Linked DNA regions of Drosophila melanogaster. The protein of the gene in region 3 interacts with the protein of the main gene of each other region in a pairwise test. Each region holds a gene or a part of one and is shown on either strand. Other genes may lie near its edges.

Region 1 (4,666 bases), on a different chromosome or scaffold from region 3:
TGAACAAACCAAAAAAAAGTGTGTGGGCGGTTTGTTGGCGATTGGGCGTGGCAACACGGGTCAGCAAGCTTTCACTGCGCATTTGTCTCTACAATCTGTATTCTGAATCTCAACCTTTTAGCTTTTATAGTTTCTGAGATCTCGACGTTCATACGGACAGACGGACAGACGACTTGTCTCGACTCGGCTATTGATCCTGATCAAGAATATATATACTTAATATAGTCGGAAACGCTTCCTTATGTCTGTTACATACTTTTCAACGAATCTATTATACCCTATTATATATATTATACCCTTATACAAGTTTTGGGCTTACCGTACTTTCGATATGGTTTGTTCTTGATTTTACATCGAATAGCGGTACTTTTTTTCTAAGCGTTCTCTACGAAATACCATTTACCTGTCTTTTGGTAATCGATTGATTGCAGTGGGCTTTTATATTATTACTAACAGATAACCACCTTACATACGATGATTATTTTCTGATATACCTCACAATTCTTTTTTGTGCGGAGCATGGATTTTTATTTTTATTTATTTTAAGCCCAACAATGTTTTTAAATTAGACTGGTATTAATAAGTAACTTTTAAAACGCACGATGTCCATCAAGTCTACATTTGTATTTGAAGTTGGAATGGAATAAAATAGGCATCTGGCAGAGTCCTGAAAATCCTGTCTGGCTTAATCTCGCCTTCCTTTTGCAACATTAGACAGGTCCGCCTATCTAGGGCGAACGCGAATCGCGTCTAGGGCGATGGTAATGCCCGTAGCGCGGCGATGAGCGAGTGTAGGAGCACGATTGCGAACGGTTGCGCCGAGAATAGCGCGATCCCGACATAGAGCGGACGCGAGAGTGGGAGGACCGCGACCCGTATTCCGAGCCGGACGCAGAGCGGGACGGCGATCGAGAGCGTGACGACGAGCCCGAGCGGGACAACGTACGCTGGCTCTGGCGCCGGTTGACTGGCGAGTAACGTCGGTATTGACGCCACGGCGCCTTTAGCATGCTTTCCTGAAAGGCGGACACCCTGATCAGCTTCCCATCGATCTGCCCGCCGTTCATATGCTTGATGGCACTGGCGCAGTCCTCTGGACGTGAGTACTCCACAAAGGCGTATCCGCGTCCCTGGCGCCCTTGGAAACGGTCCATTGGAAAGTCGACTGCCGTCAGGGCGCCGAAGTGACCAAATATCTCGGTTATGTGCTCCTTGGTCACCTGACGCGTCAATCCCTTAATGTGCAGGCGAACATTGCGCACGGGTTGGCGAAATTTGAAGGCGTCCTTTCCGTTTCTGTAGGCCACTTTGTTTACCTCACCCACGGCTCTGTAGCCCCGTCCACTTGCTTCTGCTCCTTCTCCATCCCCTTCACCGCGCCGATGGTTCCACTGGCTGCTGCAATTCCGCCCATTTTGATTTTGAACGCTTTGTTTTTGGCGAGTAGGTTCTGCACCAGCAGACGGTGAAGAGCCACGACGTGGAGGATCGTTGATCTTCGACGACTTGCCCTTGGGGCCTGAGCTGCCTGAGCGGTTCTGCTGAGGACTCTTGTCGTGATCTTTGGCTGTCGAGGGCCTGGCACTGGAGTGCAGCTGGGTGAAACTCGAGCTGGAACTGGTGTGGTTCCCGTGGCCTGAACTGGCGCTTGCGTTAGACCTGACCACCGCTTTCGAAGATGTGCTTGCCACTGAAGTCTTGGGGGCTTGGTAACCCGCCTTGCTGCCCGCGTTATTGGTGACAACCGTCTTTGAAGATTGGCCGGTACTGCTGTCCCCCTTATTTTTTGTGCTGGAGATGCTAGCGCCGCCACTTGAATTGGTTTCGGCCATACCAGTGGCGTTGGCAATCGTCTTTGTAATGGTTATAGTGCTAGACTGGATGATGGCTTGGTTGGTGCCGATAGAACTGCTGGCGGCCGAGGCGATGTTCTGCGAGGTGGAGCTGCGTCTACGAGACTTGCGGTCCAATACCACGCTGCTTGGCTCCCTCATAGGAGTTGGCATGGCGATCGGAGCAGGAATTGGTACCGGAACAGGGGCCGGAACGGGTTGCGGGTGGGGATTGTTATGGGAGCTGGAATGGCTATGGAGATGGGAGTGCGATTGCGAACGGGAGTGGGAACGCGGTTGTGCCTCCGAAACAGACAGGACAGCCGGAATGGGTGCCGGCACGGGCAGCGGAATGGGTGCCGGTATCTGAATGACCCCAGGGGCTGAAGCAGGAGAAATTTTTTCGACAACCTCCTCCTTAACCGTGATAGCTCCCTTGGCGGCGGATATGCCACGACGACTCTTTTTAGCCAAACGCTTGGAAAAGCGTCCGTGATTCGAGTGATGGCAACGGGTGACGTGCCGGCGACGGTGCGAATGACGAGGGTTTTGGTGGCGCCTATGGCGACGATGGTGTCGGTAATGGCAACACGAGTGCTTGGTGCGCTCAAACTTTTTGACGGATCCTTCTGGCTCTGGCTCGCTGTCGCTCGACGAGTAGCTGCTGCTGGTGGAGCTCAAAAAGCTTGTGCAGCTGGACGATCCAGAGGTGCTGTAGCTCGAGTCCGAGTAGCTGGAGTCGCTGCAGTCTGCTTCAGTGCTCTCCGAAGCATTCGAGTGAATTGGTGAGATGTTCCTCATCCGGGAGGAGGGGCCTCTGGCTGGCTCTTTGCGGTCCTTGCGGTCCTTGCGGTCCTTGCGGTCCCTGCGTTCTCTGCGGTCTCTGCGGTCCCTGCGGTCCATGCGCTCCATGCGTTCCAATCGCTCCCTGCGATCTTTCTTGTGCGAATGCATCTCCTTGCGTTCGCGCTTAGTGGCTGGCTCGCCATCGTCTTTTGCCTTCGTCCCTGATACCTTGGTCATTTTCACAAGATTTCACTTTCACTGCGAACAAATATGACGGCCTTCGAAACTATTTTGATTTGATGCTCCGTTACTCACACGTTGGGAACGGCTGCCTTATGAAAATGTAATGGCGTGTAAAAACTTGGTCTGACAACTGTCATAAAAATAAAAGCTGACCAAGCAAAGGCCACTCAATGATAGATAACAACTTTTTTGCTTTGTGGTTGCCACCTTAGGTCACCGCAGTAACGAATTCTCAAGCAATTTAACACTAGACCAGACCACATTAAGGATATAATCGTTGTCCAACACTTCGAAATCAGGGCTGTAACTATCGTCATTCAGGGAAGGCATTCCTATCACCTGTCAACATAATTTAAATATACACAGACAAGAAAAGGAAGGTAGCATCGGTAATACAAAGTTTATATACCCTTCCAGTTACTATACATTTAAATACAAATTTGTTGTATACCAAGTAAAAACACTTTATAATTAAAAGCACCGAAACTATGATCTCTTTATTATAACTAGCAATTAATATGACATATCAAATTTTGATCAAATGAACAATGTCCGTCTGTCTGTCCGTATAAACGTCGGGCTCACAGGAAGTATAAAAGATAGGAAGTTAGTTGTAAGAAAGTGTGCAGATTCGCAGATTAACTTAACCTATATATGTATGTTACGAACTGCCTTCTTTTTTTTAGTGGCAGTGCCCCTAGCTCAGGCTTTTCTCAGGGCGGAGTGCCACACAGCTTGCAACATAGGCATCGATAACTATCGACATCGACTATCGACCCTACATATCTATGATCTCTAAAAAGCAGACAAGCAAAAAAAAGTAGAAGAAAAAAAACGAATTCAATTTACATAAACGACAAAATCTTAAAGTACTGGCACCCAACCGACCTAGGTTGCACGAAGGATTATTGCGGACATCACTCATTATCAACACGTCGGTGTCGCTTCAAACGACTAGGACAGCCCCATCTCCCCAAAGGTGAAGCATTCCGGTATGCTTTCTTGTTTTATTACACATACATATAATTACTGATTAACTCTTACATTCTTTATTTTTTTCTTCAATCACTCATTAGGCAGCGATCACCCTAGATCGTCGACTGCTTTGAAATGGTCAAAATTAGTTGATTTTCTTTCAGATTATATTTCAGAAAGCTGACGATTCTTTAAAAGTGTACCAAATACCAATTACTTTTGGTATGCGGGATCAGTTTCGCTAAGCCAATTGGAATGAAGCACACGCTTTGGGGCTGACAGACTTTACAGTTGGTCAAAGTTGGATATAATTCTGAAAAAATCAACGACACAAAGGCTCACACGTTACATAAATGCTTAAATCAGCTCGAACAAGAGTGAACAAGGTTAGTTATAGTCCAAATATGCTAAATTCAAGCGTAATGCCATACCTGGTAAAATAAAAACTTCGAACACTTGTTTTTACTAAACATAAAAATGCGGGTCACAAACACATTATTTTTATTTCGAACATTTATTTCCTAAAGTTAACATAAGTTGTTAATTGAATTTGTTTTACTTTGTTTAAATTAAAGGTCAATAAACAAATACGAAACGTTACGCCAAATATTTAATGACCACGCGCTGAAACATATGTTTAAACAAGCAAAAACTCTTATGCTAACTCTTATAGGCTCAGACGGATAGTCAGTTAGAGTCAGTTAAAAAAGAAAAAACTGTATTTAAATATTTAAAAATGTGACTTTTGTCCCACTAGAAAAATCATCTGGCCCACTGGCCCACCGACGACAATTCAGACTCGCGATTGACACCGGATTTAGTGACAAATT
Region 2 (5,874 bases), 1.0 Mb from region 3:
GTGTCTGGACGGCTCCAAAGAGATCCCGTTCGACCACCTGAACGACAACTACTGCGACTGTGAGGAGGACGGCAGCGACGAGCCCAGCACGAATGCCTGCGCCAAGGGGCGATTCTACTGTCGCTACCAGAAGCGTCACATCACGGGCCGGGGCCTGGATATCTACGTGGCCAGCAGCCGCATTAATGACCACGTGTGCGACTGCTGCGACGGCAGCGATGAGTGGAGCACGGCGACCAAGTGTCCCAACGACTGTGCGTAGTCGCAGGCCGACGGGACCCCGTTCCCACTCCCATTCCTCTTCCATCTCCTCCACCTGTGCACCTAGGACACCAATCTCAAGGATGAAGATGTCGGGCGGCGCATCACAAGCGATATTTTTTGTACGAGTACAATAGAATTGTAATTTATTTTAAAATAAGTAGATTGAATAAAAGAAACGAATTCCAAGAAACACAATGTGGCCTGTTCCAGTTTTCACATTCAAAGAATCTGATGGATTTAATGTGTACAATTTGTTTAAAACTATGTTTAATTTGGTGCCAGAGGAGCAGCTGCAAGATTAGATCTTTGTGGACATGTGAAAAAAAGAAGCTGCCATTTTATCCATATATGCTTATTCATTTTATTACCAGACTCACAAAAATCAGTAGAATTTACATTGGGAATTCCTTTTTTGTTTTGTTTTCTTTTTTTTGCTCGACTTTCTCTGCGCGATTTTTGGTTTCGAATTCGCAGCGTTTTCATTTATAATGTTCAATTTACATCTACGACCGTCTGTAATTTTAGTTAATATGGTTCTTCTTGCCTAAAAATGTTTTGTGCAGTTTAATCCGTAAAATGTACATCGACAAACTCTAAAGCAATTTTGAACTGCAAATTCTACAAGGTACGAAATTTTGTGTGTAATTAATTTTTCCCTTATATGCACAGTACGTCTCACTGGATTTTCTCTTGGTTTGCTTTCTTGGCTGGCTTTCTTGTCTTGTTTTGGATGATAAGCGGAAGCGGTAATGATCTCCACATCGATATACATAATTAGTTTAAGGAACGCGCGCCATCGCATTTACAATTACTTCTCGGATCTGAATTGGCAAAATTCACTTTATTCACTTGCATTTGCATTGAGTACTTCTTCTTTGACTTGCCCAGCACAATCAGAGAAAACTACGTCGTCTATGCCTGGACGAGCTGATTGCTATATTGCTATCGACGCTCTCGTCTCACAAATTTGATACTTTGCCCCCAGTTTGCGATGGAAACTGGGGATCAACCTAAGTAAAGTACATTTGTTGTTGTGGCTTGCTTTTTGCCAGTTGCAACTTAAAGTTAGCTTACGTACGCTAAGTAATACTTAATCAGAGGGCTTTGTGGGTGTGTGTGATTTAGATTTTAGGCTGGTTAGATTAATGCGTCTGTGCGGATGATGTATAAATTCATTGGGGTACTTAAAACATAAATTGCTTGAGACACGCTACGATTACAGTGCTTGCTCTACGATGTTTACTTTATATCATGTGCGCAAATCACAAATCTTTTCATCAATTACAAATAAATAGCATGGAGTGTTTGTATAAAATAAGAGAGGTCTGTAAAATCAGCATATATATAAATACGCATATATATAAATATATAGATATATATATATTCGGATTATGTATATTATTGCACTGATGAGATTTTGCTTTCAGTTTGGGACGAATTACAAAAATGCGATGATCAAAGATACAAAATACGAACAAAAAGGGGAATAAATAAATACATGTACAAAAAATGAAGGGACGAAGGGACTGGACATACATATAATATATATAGGACGTGGTAGGTGTGACTCCACTTAAGCTAAGTGCTGATGCTGCTGGTGGTTCTAAGAAACTTTCTCTCGTACAAGTACACATAGATATAGTTAGGCTACAGATCTAACGGCAAAGCGTATAATACAATTTCTGCAGTTTGCGTTTCGAGCGACACTGATGATGATGATGATGGTGGTGCGAGTGGTGATGTGAGTGGTGTTGGTGGTGGTGATGCCTGTGTGATGTTGCCGGATGGTGATGATGGCGCGCCTGTGGCGGCTGCTGCGTCTGCTGTTGTTGCATATGGCTGTGGTGATGACTATTTACAAGGCTCGCGGACGAGGCGCTCAGAGCCACCGCCGACGAGATCAGGGCCGCAGCCAGGCGCGATGAGGAGGCCAGCGCGAGCTCCGGGGCGGCAGCCAGCAGCTGCTGGTGGTGCTGGCGCAGCTGCGCCACCTGCTGACGCTTGAGGGCGGCGGTACCCTTGCGCATCGCATGCAAGCGACGCCTGTGGTGATGCGGATGCAGTTGCAGCTGTCACTTTGCCTCCTCGCCGGCTTCCAATAGATTGTTGCTCCCATTGTTGGTGGCGGCCACCGCCGCCGAAGACTGCTCACTGATGCCGACACCCTGCTGCTGCTGCATTTGCTGTTGCTGCTGGTTGAGCGCGTGGACGTGCTGGCAAAATGCCTGCAGCACCTCGAAGTGGGTCATCAGATTCGCTGGCTGGTTGTCGTAGTGCAAGTGCCGGGTGATCGGCGCATTCAGCCTACGTAGCATCTCCGTAAACAACTTCTCCTCCTTTCTAATCCAGGGTCGGCGATCATCCTGCACCTGGTAGGGCGTCAGGTGGACATGGATGTTCATGCCTGCTTAAAGACTCCCACTCGTTAGTTGACTCAACTTGGCATTTACTCTCTCTCCACTTACCCATCCGCGTTAGTGTTTCCAGCAAGCTACGGGACGTGATCCAAGTGTTCTTTTGGCCCCCATGGCCGCCATCCAGCCAGTACATGTCTGAAATCCGGGAGAGAAGGCGGCACATGCTGCTGTCGTCGGGCGTGAGCGTCTTAAGATAGTGGAACTCGTAGATGAACTATAAACAAAAAAGAAAGTGCAGATAAGTATGGTCAGTTGGGTATGGGCCACAATCCTCAGATACCGATTCAGCGTTTAGATTTATACTCTACACGCTCCATCGACACTTCTGCATAGGATTGAAGCTGGCGTATTGGCGAGTGGATCAACTAGGTAACGAACCAAACGCGACTCACTTGATTGAGCACGACGCAGCCCTTGCTAAAGCCAATCAGCACCAGCTTGGATTTGTCCAGATTGAGGTTCTCCCGCCACCACAGCGGATTGCTATCGCTGCTTGCCGTTGATGTGGAGGTGCCCGTTGCCGAGGCTGTTGTTGCAGAGGCAGCGGAAGCCTGCCTCGTACCACAATCGTTGTTGTAGTGCTCCACATTGTTGGTGGCATTTATCGCCGTTGTGGGAGAAGTCATCTTGATGGCTGCCGCCGTTTGCTGCTGCTGCTGGAGCTGCTGGTTGTTCACTTGCTCTTGGTGGTTGTTTACACTATCATCGTTACCGCCACCACCGATGTTGCCATTATTCCCGGATACATTGTTCACTGCCTCTGGCACTTCGTTGCCAACTATCGGAAATATTACTGCCCCATCCGCGTCCACTGTGATATTCTCCTGCACCTGCAATATATCAATGTCCATCTCCTGGCTGCTGTCGTTGGCCGGTGCCGATTGTGAGTTGGACTCCGAGGTGACCGTGGCGTTGGATAGCGTTAAAGCTGCGGCCGCAGCAGCAGCAGCCACTGCCGCCGCAGCAGCCGCTGCCTGGGCGGCCTGATCCAGAATTTCGTTCTCTGGTATGGAGATCAGGCGCTGCGATAGATTCTGAAGCAGTCTGTGGGGATAAACAATTGTTATTAATAAGAGCATTCTTGAATTGTACACTATGAACTTACTTTTCTAGATGCTGGAGGGCATGGTTCATGGGCGTGTGATCCGGAACTCCAGCGTTGTTGCCCCGAACAAAATTGTCAAAGCAACTGAATGTCTTGAACTCCATGCTGCAAATGAAAATGCGTTTATATTATTTATAAATTATTATTAAAATATGCAAAAACTAACCGCACGGGCCGGATGACGATGATGTGTGACCGGGGAAAGGCCTCGCGCAGAAGGATGGCCGAGTTTTCGAGGTTGTACTTCATGTAGCCCCGACTGTCACGGTTCGTCTCCATGCTCTCCGGGAAGTCCTGCACGTCCCCACCAAAATAGATTATGGCCGTGGAGTCCTCCGGCACGTGCACCGAGTGCTGGCGCACGATCGGCGGGCAGTAGACGATGTCATTGGCCCGGTTCTGGAATCCGGCCACGGAAAAGATGCGGAATGGGCCGGCCGAAGTGCTTGGCGTGCACAGACGCTCCCCGCTGCCGCCGCCAAGCATGCCCTCGAAGTTACGGATCCGCTCTTGCAGTTGCAGGAATTGATCAATGGTGAGCTGCGGGATCGAATCGGTTCATGGGGGATTACTTTACTTGGTGGGCATTAACCAATCACAGCATCATTTTCACAGCTTCACACACAAACGCTCTTTTTTGAAAACTTTCACAAATCAATATACTTTCGAAAGTTCTGAATAGAATAACTGATGATATAGACCACTTCTGTTACAGAACTATAACCCTAAAGCTAAATACGATCTTCTTATAATACACTTGCTTTTTCTTTAGTTCCATCAGAATAGAACCATTTCGGATTAGTGATGAAATATAAATCTAAATAAGGGACGTCCTTGTTTGAAACCCCTCCTAACAACCTCTTCTTATCCTAGTAGTAATCATCCTCGTACGCGTCCCTAGGATTCCCGCAACAGCCAACGAATCGCAGCCTGGTGTCCTCCATGCAAAGTTTGGCGTCCTCGCGCATCTCGCGTGCCTTTAGGCGCACCTCTTCGCGCATCAGGTTGCGACACATGGCCACCAGACCCATGCCCAGCAGCATGTAGACAAAATTGATGGCCAATTTGGAGTGCTGATCGGCGGCCACGGACTGTAGCTGGGCCAGCTCGGCAGGATCGGCTGAAATGTCCTCCTGCAACTTTTGCGTCGCTGCATTCACATCCGCACTGGTAGTCAGCGAGGCACCGGGCACAAAGTCGCCAAATCCAATCTTGCACAGCGAGGTCATGCAGAAGTAAAAGCTGTTCAGTAAGCTCCACTTCTCCCAATTGGCAAACATCACGGTGCCGGTGAGAACGTAAAAGAAAATGACCCACAGGCAAGCGGTCGACGGCACAATGACCTTTTTGCGTGTCATGCCAACACCACCCTCAAGGGCGTCCATTCGATCCAGGCGCGGGTGCTCCTGGGTGCAGTCGTGCAGTGATCGGTAGAGGAACTTAAACGATCTGGCCAGCACTCTGCCCATGTTGAGGAAGTACAGGATGTAGAGCGGTATGCCAAAGGTGGCATAGATCACGGTGAATCCCTTGCCCCACGGAGTTCGTGGCACCATGTTGCCGTAGCCAATCATGGTTATCACCGACAGGCAGAACATTAGGGCAGCCGGAAAGCTCCAGATCTGCTCTGGACTTCTGCCCACATAGCCGTGTTTGACAACTCCGGCTATTTGCGACTGGTACTCCCTCAGTACATCGTTCGTGGCCTCCGTCCAGCGTCGACGATCGATTATGTTGTGCTGCTCCGTGATGCTCCACAGCTGCTGGGAGCAGTTCTGACGCAGCTCCATCACATGGCCAGCCGTCTCGTCCACAAACTGGCGCTCGATGTGCATGAAGGCGAATGCTCCACAGATGGCATAGATCACGATCAGAGCGCCCACGCCCACCTGGGTGCACATAAAGGTGACGAAGTTGCGGCAGCAGCGTTTCACCCTTTTCCTCGGCTGGTTGCTCGGCGTAGAGGAAACACTCGATGGCCCCCCTCCCATGCCTACAGTTCCGCCGGGAGATGGTTTCCTCTGAAATTTGCTGGCCATTTTAGTCGCACATGGATTATATAACCGATTCCACAGATTCCGGATATCT
Region 3 (3,623 bases):
CCGCAAGTGCTGTGATGAAGTGCGCCCGAGTTATCGTCGGGCCGAGCTGCTGCATAAGCCAGATTAAATGTATTTTCCATTACTGTTGCATGCCACTTTCGGCCAAAGTAGACACAGACACCAACACAGGTCACAGCTCTTCGCAGCCGGTTTAGTTTTCCAAGTGGCCAAGAGTGTGAGTGGGCCAAATGGATGCGGCCGTGTTTGTTCGAGCTAGGTGTGTGTGTCCCCTAAGAGCAAACTCAATTTTCCGTCTTAATATAAGGCAGTTGATATGACCTCCTCACTTCCCCTTATTTTCGAGCCATTACTTTGGGTAATTAAAAGTGAAGTTGGTGGAATTTAACCAGATTCAATTGAATGAACTTCTGATTTTAAACCTTTTATTAAACATTTGAGCTACCTTAGGTCTGGCAGTAATTTTGTTTAAGAGCTATACTTCTTCGAAAAATTTACTTTTGAAAGGCTCTTAATCCTTTAATGATACCATGGCTATGTGGAACGAAAATAAAAGAAACCTTGTTTACAGAAAAGTACATAAACTAGCTTGAGTACAACTTTAATGATAAATTGTTGAAGAACAGCTGGAACTGAAAATTTTGAGAACTGCTTTCCTCAAGAGTAAAGTAAAATTTAGAAATCTAGCAAGCGCCGATTCGCAGGATCCTTCAAACTTAGGTCTCGCCCTCACCCTCGGTGATCGACGGCTGTTTGGTGGCCAGTGGAGAACCGTTTCCTTCATCCGGTATAGTGGGCACCGTTTTGCCGCCGAGGGCGAGGAGAGCCTCCGGCGACATTTCCTGGTGGGCTTCCTCCTCCTCCTCGCCCTCGCCCTCATCGAGCAGCTTCTCCTCAGGCTCCGGCGGCAGCCAGCAGGTTCCCTTGACCAGGCGGTCCTCGATTTCGGCGATCTCGTTCTTGTAGTACTGATTGAAGTCCGGCCGCTCCCATATGCTCTTGACCCACTGCAAGTTGAAGTCCATTTTGGTGCAGCAGCAGAACTTGCGCGACTTGTGGCACTTGGGGCACTTGGCCGGCTGGCGAGCAGGGTGTGTGTACTGCTGCTTCTGCTTCTTCTTGCAGCAATATGGACACACGTGCTTGGGCTTCTTTTTGTTGGAAGTGCAGGGAGTCGGTTCCTTGGCATAGACCAGATGTCCCCGCTTCTTGGCACAGAAGCAGCAGTTGCAATCGTCGCCCTCCGGCTGCCTCTTGCGCGTCTGCATGCGATCGTAGAACTTCTTGAAGGCTATTTTGATCTTGGCCTCGTATGCCAACTGTTCGGCGCAGGAGAGGCCATCGAAGCGGGCATAGGACTCGGCTGACTTCCTGGCTGCGTGGACCCAGACGCATTCATCGTTGTACGAGGGTCTGCCTTGCTCATCGTAGGTCAAGTCCACTTTCGGCTCGTAGTAGAAGGCCTTGAATCCCCTCTTGATGATGGCATAGGCCAAGTGGGCCTCCACCTTGTTCATCAGCGACTTCTTGCCCAGCTCGTGGAACAAATCCTCCTTTCTCAGTCGCTTCTTGGGCGTGGTATCAATGCAATAGCACACCTGATCGTAATGCAAGAAGGCATATGTGATAATGTCCACGGTTGATTTCGCTTTGCACTCGTGCAGTCCACAGATGATCATCACCTGGGCCAAAGTGTTGGCCAGGTCCAGGACATTTTCTAGGAAAATCGATGAGGCATTTACCTCGCCCAAGCACTTGCACTGGGTGTGCTGATCGATTATGCCCAAAGGAGCATGCCTCTGGCACTCCTTGTGCTGGCAATTATTCCGGCATCGGAAATCGGGCATCGCATGATGGGCCTGCATCGCGAATCGGTCTTACCTCTATTTTGATGCTGTTCGCTACTCCTTGCAGCATGAACAATTTTCGAATTTTTTACCTAAAAGTTTTTTTCTAACTAGTTGATAAAACGAGACAAGCCAAATGAATGTTATGGGCGAATGTTCGCCTGACAGGATTTAAAATGATCAATTGCTGCTAGATTTCGAGTTTTTCCCATTTGGTAAACTAAAACGGGAATGGAATATTTCGTTTTTTTTAAAAATAACCACAAGTGCGAAATACAATTGTTGCAATAAATCAAACTACATCCGCAGTACATTTTCATTTGTAAGTCTCTTAACAATCAAATGCTTTTCCGTTTATCAGAGAATAAAATATTCACTATTTTTGTTTGGAAAGATTGTCGTACTGTAAAGGTATGAAAACATACAACATTTTATAAAACCAAGTTTTTCTTGGCCAAATTGTGTTTCTATTCCCAAAATAAACACAAGTGTCAGATAACAAGGCAAAGCCTCAGGATTTTCTCCAAATTTGGTTACTTTCTTGGCTTTTCATGTTGTCGGGGGCTAAGCGGCATTTGATACGGCATAGATTGTTTGAGTTGTGTTTTCGTTTGTTTGCCCATTCCTTGTAGACACACGTATAAGTTTCGATGGGTCAAATATTTGTTAAGCCAACAGTGGAAATTTTCAGGCAGCCGCCAAGTAGGCGACGCGACATTTCATTTCTCTTTTTGCGGCCTTCGTAATGGATGTCCTTTTTTTTTTTTTGGGCGGGATACATTCGTAATTGTTGATGACGGCATTGAGTCAGTTTATGATTCATTGGGGAGTGAGAAATGCGTCTGGCAGTGGCATAAATAAAGTACGACATCCTGAGCTCGTTCCCAAGGGAAACGTCAGCGTAAATACATCAAAGAATTTATTAGACAAGCTTTGCCATATCCGTTTCCTGTTGACAAATGTCACGGGAACCGAAGAGTCATCTAATAACATTTATTCTAATGGAAAAGGCGAACGGAAAAAAATCGCTGACGAATGTAAATCTTCATTTGCTCAATGTCCTTCCAACTTGACCCCTTGCATATCAGGGAACTTTTTGGCCATAAGTGTAAGAAAACTGGCTTTAATCGCAGAGCACAAAAGCCCCATAATCTGTCGCAGACAAAAAAAAAAAAAAGGGAGAAAAGTCGTTACAACTTTGTTTAACTCATAATGAAATAGCAGCGCGGTGCGGTCCTGAAGATGAGCGATTTCAATCCACAACCTTCGGGCTCTTGTTTCTTTTTTCTTTAGGCTAAAATGCAACTACGTAACTCATAAAACTTGAGCAATCGCGCATAAATCTTGGCCAGACAAAATGGCCAACTGTTGTTGCCGGGGCCTTATCGGCCGGACTTCGTTAGCCGGCAATTTTTCTTGGAAAATGGAAAAGCGACCCACAAGAAATTCATATTCGTTTCTCTAACAATAAAAGTTGACAGCATGGAACGGACACGTGGCGATGGTCAGGCGGCAATAGGAGTACCTGTCTGCCGTATAAAGTTACAATCGAAACCATTTTTCCGAGCAGAAATAAAATACCTCTGGAAATTGTTTTATGTACAGCAAATGGCACGAAATGTATCTGTAGAGATTTATGCAAAACACCGATTATGTAATATTTTTTAAGGTTTCGTTTAATCGATTGATATTAGATATATTTTAATGTTGAAGATATATGCCAACCATTTTAAAAGTAATAAACTTTGAACTCTGCTTAAATTGTTACAGAACAAAAATAAGTTTGGCAAAATATCATAACGGTTGCCATATGATTAA
Region 4 (5,154 bases), on a different chromosome or scaffold from region 3:
TGCGACCACAAACTGTACCCACTTGAAGGAGAGAATGCAGTCAACATTCTGCGTCCGCGATTCATCCACAGGTTGTTACAATATAAACCCAACCAATTAATCTAAAATGGGTTAATTTGCGAGTTTTGCAGTGTCAAAACAATAATATTTAACCAGGTGAAAAACCTATAATTTGATAAGCCTATCAAGCTTGTTATCGCTGCCATTGCATTGTCATTTGGTTGGGGAAAAACCTCTGCAGGAATACACCAATCTTATCGCGGTGCGTAATGTCCATAAGCCCCCCATTCGCATTTCCCCAACTTAAGCAACACAAATAGAGTAATTACTCACTCGTAATGTATCTAGTTTAAAGTGTAGTTTTAATTCATTTCCGCCAGCTGCATTAATAATGCAATTGAGTCATTTGCAATCGCACTCAGAAAGTAATGGGTATTATATAGTTGAGCTTAACGAATGCACTTGTACCGTGGAGAAGAAAATAAATAAATTAAGTTTCCATAAAAAATACGAAGTATATAGATTTGAGTTTTGTTTTTTTTTTATTTAATTTCATTTTTTTAGATGTTTTTTTAATGATTTTTTATAGAATAATAGAATAGAAGCTTCTGGGTGTTAAATGTATAGTAATATTGAAGGTTATATGTGTGGGAGGTTGTATTGAAGGAATCTTAATGCATCTTAAACGCTGGCTGCGATTGCCTAATCACGTCCATGTCCATGTCCATGGCCATGTCCATGTCCATGTCCATGCCCATGTCCATGAGCGCGTTTTCCGTGCTTCTTTTTGCCCTTCTTGCGCTCCTCCCTCTCGACTTTGGGGAAACTCTCCTGCTTTTCCTTGCGGCAGTGGGATCGGGACAGAGAACGACTGCGACGACCTGGAGGGAACTCAGCTGGTGGTGGTCGATGATGGGCAATAGGAAACTCCGGACGGGGCTGGTGCTCAAAACGCGGTCCTTCACCGGATTCTCTTTGGGGAACGTCAAAGAATGGTCCGAATTGGGGGCCATGTCCATGTTCGACAAATGGACCATGATGTGGACCAAAGTGATGGCCATGGTGTCCGCCGTGATGGGGACGGTAACCTTCATGGCGCGGACCAAAGTGGTGGTGGCCATGTGGAGGTCCGAAGTGGTGCCCGCGTCGATGGGGAATCTTCTGCACTTCGCCATCGGAGCTGGAGCTGGAGCTGGAGCTGGAGCTGGAGCTGGAGCTGGAGCTCGATGAGGAGCTGGATGAGGAGCGCTGCTGTCTTTTCTTCTCCTTGCCCTTTCCCTTGCCCTTGCACTTCTGCCTCTTCTTCTCATCCTCCGAGGAAGAACTGGAGCTGGAACTGGAACTGGACCTCGGCTTGCGGCAGTGCTTCCTCTCCAGCGAACCGGATGTTGAACGGGAAAGTGATCTCTCTAGTCGACGGCCATGTCGTGGACGCGTTTGGCCATATCCGTATCCGTATCCTGGTCCGAATCCGAATCCGAGATCTCCACGACAGTCGCGCCTAGATAGTCTAGGCAGCGAGTGGCTCCTCCGATTGGCCGCGGCATTGTCCAGGGCCCACGGCAGGCCCATCCATTGAAAAAACTGGGACTGATCATGCCAAGGTCCGCGAAAGGATCTCCGATCGAAGTCAAAGGGAGAGGGCCCAGCGTGAGGTCCAAAGTGTGGTCCAAAATGGGGACCAAAGTGGTGACCATGCGGATGGTGGTGGTGCGGCCGTCCATGATGTCCATGTCGGCCATGATGATGCGGCCCGTGACCATGTTTGTGGCCATGCTTGCGACCATGCTTGTGGCCAAAACCGTGGCCAAGACGACGACCGAAGCCGTGATGGCCATGTGGTCCTCGGCGCCATGGATTGCTGATCCAGCCGTAACCGTTATAGAATACCTCTTCGTCCTCGGAGCTGGAGCTCGAACTGGAGGAGCTGGAACTGGATGAGCTGGAGCTGGAAGAGCTGGAGCTGGAGGTGTTGGAGGGCTCCTCGCCAGCCGCCGTCTGCTCTTCCGCCTGTTTTTTGGCCTGTTGCTTGGCCAGCTTCTTGGCCTTCTTCTTGTCCTTCTTGGCCTTCTTCTTCAGCTGCTTCTTGGTCCTTTTGGTGCCCTGTTCCTGCTCCTGCTGCCGACACCTGGCCTCCTCCTCGGCCAGCAGGATCATGGCCTGCTCCAGCATGCGCTGCACCTTGGTCACCTTCTTCAGGGCTTTGGTGTATCGCTTGGAACTGGCTGGTGGCATCCTGGCCTCCTCCTCCACCTTGGAGGTCGTATCCTCCACAAAGTCAATATCGCAGTCGATCAGCTCTTGGGAAACACGCTCCCGATCCTGATCCTGCTGCTGCTGCTGCTGCAGTCTGGACAACTCGCTCATGTTGATAGTATCTTCAATGCGATTTACCTTCACTGGTGTAATACTAGTTGCTTTTTTGCTTGGTTTAACGGTTTAGAGTTCGCTGGGATACGCTATGCCACAAAGCTGAAAGCTTGCAAACTGATGCCATTCGCTTGCCGGCCGGCACTTTTTATACGCTCAGCGGCGTCGGCGGTTGGCGGCGCCAGCGGAGCGGCAAGGCGGCAAAGGGGCAAAGGGGCAAGGAAGCGGTGAGAACGCCCCACTGGTGGAGCACTGAAATGCGTCGCAGAACAAAAACGGGGAACAGTGGAACCTCAATACAAATTAAACATTTCAATAGACAACAGAAAAAGCCCTTCGCAAATTTATAGGTGTGTGAATCTTGGCCTTAAAATTCAATCCATGAAATATAAAACGTATCTAAATAAACAAAATCTGCAATCTAAATGTGCATCTAACATATTCTAAAAACTGGCGCTAAATAACAAAAAAAAAATAATATTATTTGCAACACATTGATTGAGACTAACGTGAGTGCGGTTGATCTAGGTCCACGTTAGGGAGGCTCGTCTGTAGCTCGCTGCTCTCTCACCAATACCAACGCGCGCGTTTGTTTTCACAATTTGCTATCGAGTACGTGGATTTTGCGTCGTTCTCCGATTATCAAAACAAAACAAAACAAAGCTAAATAAAACCGGAATAACGCTTCAAAAAAAGCTTTGGCAGTGGGGAATTTTTTGCAAGAGTTTCGTCATGTGATGAAATAGCTCCACAAAACGCAGCACAAGAAAAAACTAAACAAATGATTCAAATTAACGAAATTAAGTCTATGCTGAATTTCGCCAGACACTGCAAATATCGAAATGGATAAAGAACAGTCTGGAAAATGGAATTGGTGGTCTTCCTGGCAAAGTTCACAGCCCAAAAAGGAACCGAACTCACTTTGCAGGACATTTAGGCATCGGGGATCAGGGATCAGGGATCATTCGTTACATTCTCAGATGGATATGCTCATAATGCTCCATGATTAGTTATCACTCATGCACTAAGTAGATAATCCATCTGTAAATGACATTTTTCATATTGGAACTTAAATTCCAATGCAACAAAAATTCAACACAGGCTGTTTTTTTATTTTATATATTTATATTGAAAAAATACACTTAAAACTATTTAATTTATTGCATAGAGATCAGCACATCACCACAACATCGATTCTTTTGATAAGTAGAATTTCAAAATTATATATAAATTATATATATTATATACATTTATATTTGCACCAATAACACATCAATATATTTTTGAAGGTCTTCTTTACGAATTTCACCACAAATCAGAAAATACTGATTACGCATATGATTTTTTATTTATGTTTTAAAAATTTCATAAATATTTGGTAAACGGAAAAACGTAAGAAATCACAGATTTAAAAAGGGGTATTCAAAACATCACACTTCTCATACGCAAAATGGGACTTCACATTATAGGCAATATTTGGAACTTTTTGTTTGAAAACAATACGAAATATATTTATTTATTCTTCAATTTCATTATCATTCACAGAATTTTAATATGGCAGCAGGGTGTTTTGGTGAGATTTCTTGAGAAACCCATATCAGGGGAGCACTTATTCATAAAATGGGAGTAAACATAGTTCGGCAACTATGTATGTTTGTAAATTTCATGGGACCTCTTGGGACTTGAACACGAAAACAAAAAATGAGTATACACTTGAGTTTTCATTTTTGCATCAACTTTATCACAACGCAGCTCAACGACTGAGGCATCAGATCTTTGGATCTTGTTTATAGCATTTCCAGTTTCTCAGAAACTGGAGAACCGTTTGGGGGGCAGGGAAATATGAGTCACATAGTATATACTTATGTATATTGGTTGGGGTATGGGCAACTTATGTAAGGCGATCGCAATAGGGCACAATATCATCCCATAGGGATTGTTTAGGATATATGTATATATATCCATGAAATGCGATTCTTTTATAAGAGAACGGAATCTCTGGCACTGGGCACTGGGATATACTTTTCTTTTCTTGACTTTTCATATTTTATTAATTCTCAATGACTTTTGATATCTTGTGAACACGTTGCGAAAAAACGCTCCGATTTGTTCGGCCGATGTCGCCAAATGAAAGCCCCACGTAAGCGAGATAGTGCCACTCCATTGCTCCACAAAGTTTTTGGCGAGAAAGCTTAAAGCTTTCGTTCACTTGATAATGAACGAAACTCGGAGAGAAATAGAGAGCGAGTAGGGTTGCCAGAGTGTTAAAGTATTAAACTGATCGTAAGCTTTGTTGAACCCGAAACTCAACACATTCCGAAATCGATTTGGATTCGGAACAATCGACTGTATCGTAAACGCGAATTTATCAAAATGTAATAATATAATTTTAATTTTGGAAGCAGAGCTCTCTTAGGTATTGAAACTATTTAGTCTTTTGAAATTATTTCACGGCATATACATATATAATATTTATTTGTTACAAATTGAAATCATTAAATTAATTACATCTAGATCCCACAGATAACCTTAAGATTAGGCAGATTTTGGGCGTTTCGGCAATATCGTTGCCATCCTGCCCAATGACGAAAACCATCCGAGGTTTGGATGCGCTTGGCGCAAGTAACCGACTCCCTTAAATTTTCGTCCAAAAAATCTAAAAATATTTATATTTAGTTAAATTTGAATAGAATACGATTTGCCAGAGCAGCCCTCACAAACCTTCGCACTTGGCATTGCAAATGCCGCCACGCCTTCCCTCCTGACAAAACCTGCCATTGATTT

Evidence for each region.
Region 1: the proteins of CG3517 (region 3) and CG34334 interact in a two-hybrid assay, tested with the Drosophila melanogaster proteins (one large-scale study listed by BioGRID).
Region 2: the proteins of CG3517 (region 3) and CG31122 interact in a two-hybrid assay, tested with the Drosophila melanogaster proteins (one large-scale study listed by BioGRID).
Region 4: the proteins of CG3517 (region 3) and CG15784 interact in a two-hybrid assay, tested with the Drosophila melanogaster proteins (one large-scale study listed by BioGRID).

What each region holds. Positions count from the first base shown.
Region 1 is NC_004354.4:22,871,205-22,875,870, reverse strand, and holds CG34334 (uncharacterized protein), read right to left. Parts: upstream 3,060-4,666; 5' UTR 2,856-3,059; coding exon 729-2,855; 3' UTR 504-728; downstream 1-503.
Region 2 is NT_033777.3:18,405,546-18,411,419, forward strand, and holds CG31122 (uncharacterized protein), read right to left. Parts: upstream 4,316-5,874; 5' UTR 4,273-4,315; coding exon 3,953-4,272; intron 3,892-3,952; coding exon 3,787-3,891; intron 3,726-3,786; coding exon 3,074-3,725; intron 2,896-3,073; coding exon 2,730-2,895; intron 2,672-2,729; coding exon 2,337-2,671; coding exon of another isoform or gene 1,920-2,336; 3' UTR 519-1,919; downstream 1-518. Other genes in the region: CG7685 (uncharacterized protein), read left to right, coding at 1-262; CG10864 (uncharacterized protein), read right to left, coding at 4,656-5,825.
Region 3 is NT_033777.3:19,423,235-19,426,857, forward strand, and holds CG3517 (uncharacterized protein), read right to left. Parts: upstream 1,966-3,623; 5' UTR 1,824-1,965; coding exon 675-1,823; 3' UTR 545-674; downstream 1-544.
Region 4 is NC_004354.4:5,427,893-5,433,046, reverse strand, and holds CG15784 (uncharacterized protein), read right to left. Parts: upstream 3,477-5,154; 5' UTR 2,368-3,476; coding exon 703-2,367; 3' UTR 521-702; downstream 1-520. Other genes in the region: CG16756 (uncharacterized protein), read right to left, coding at 4,881-5,026, 5,092-5,154.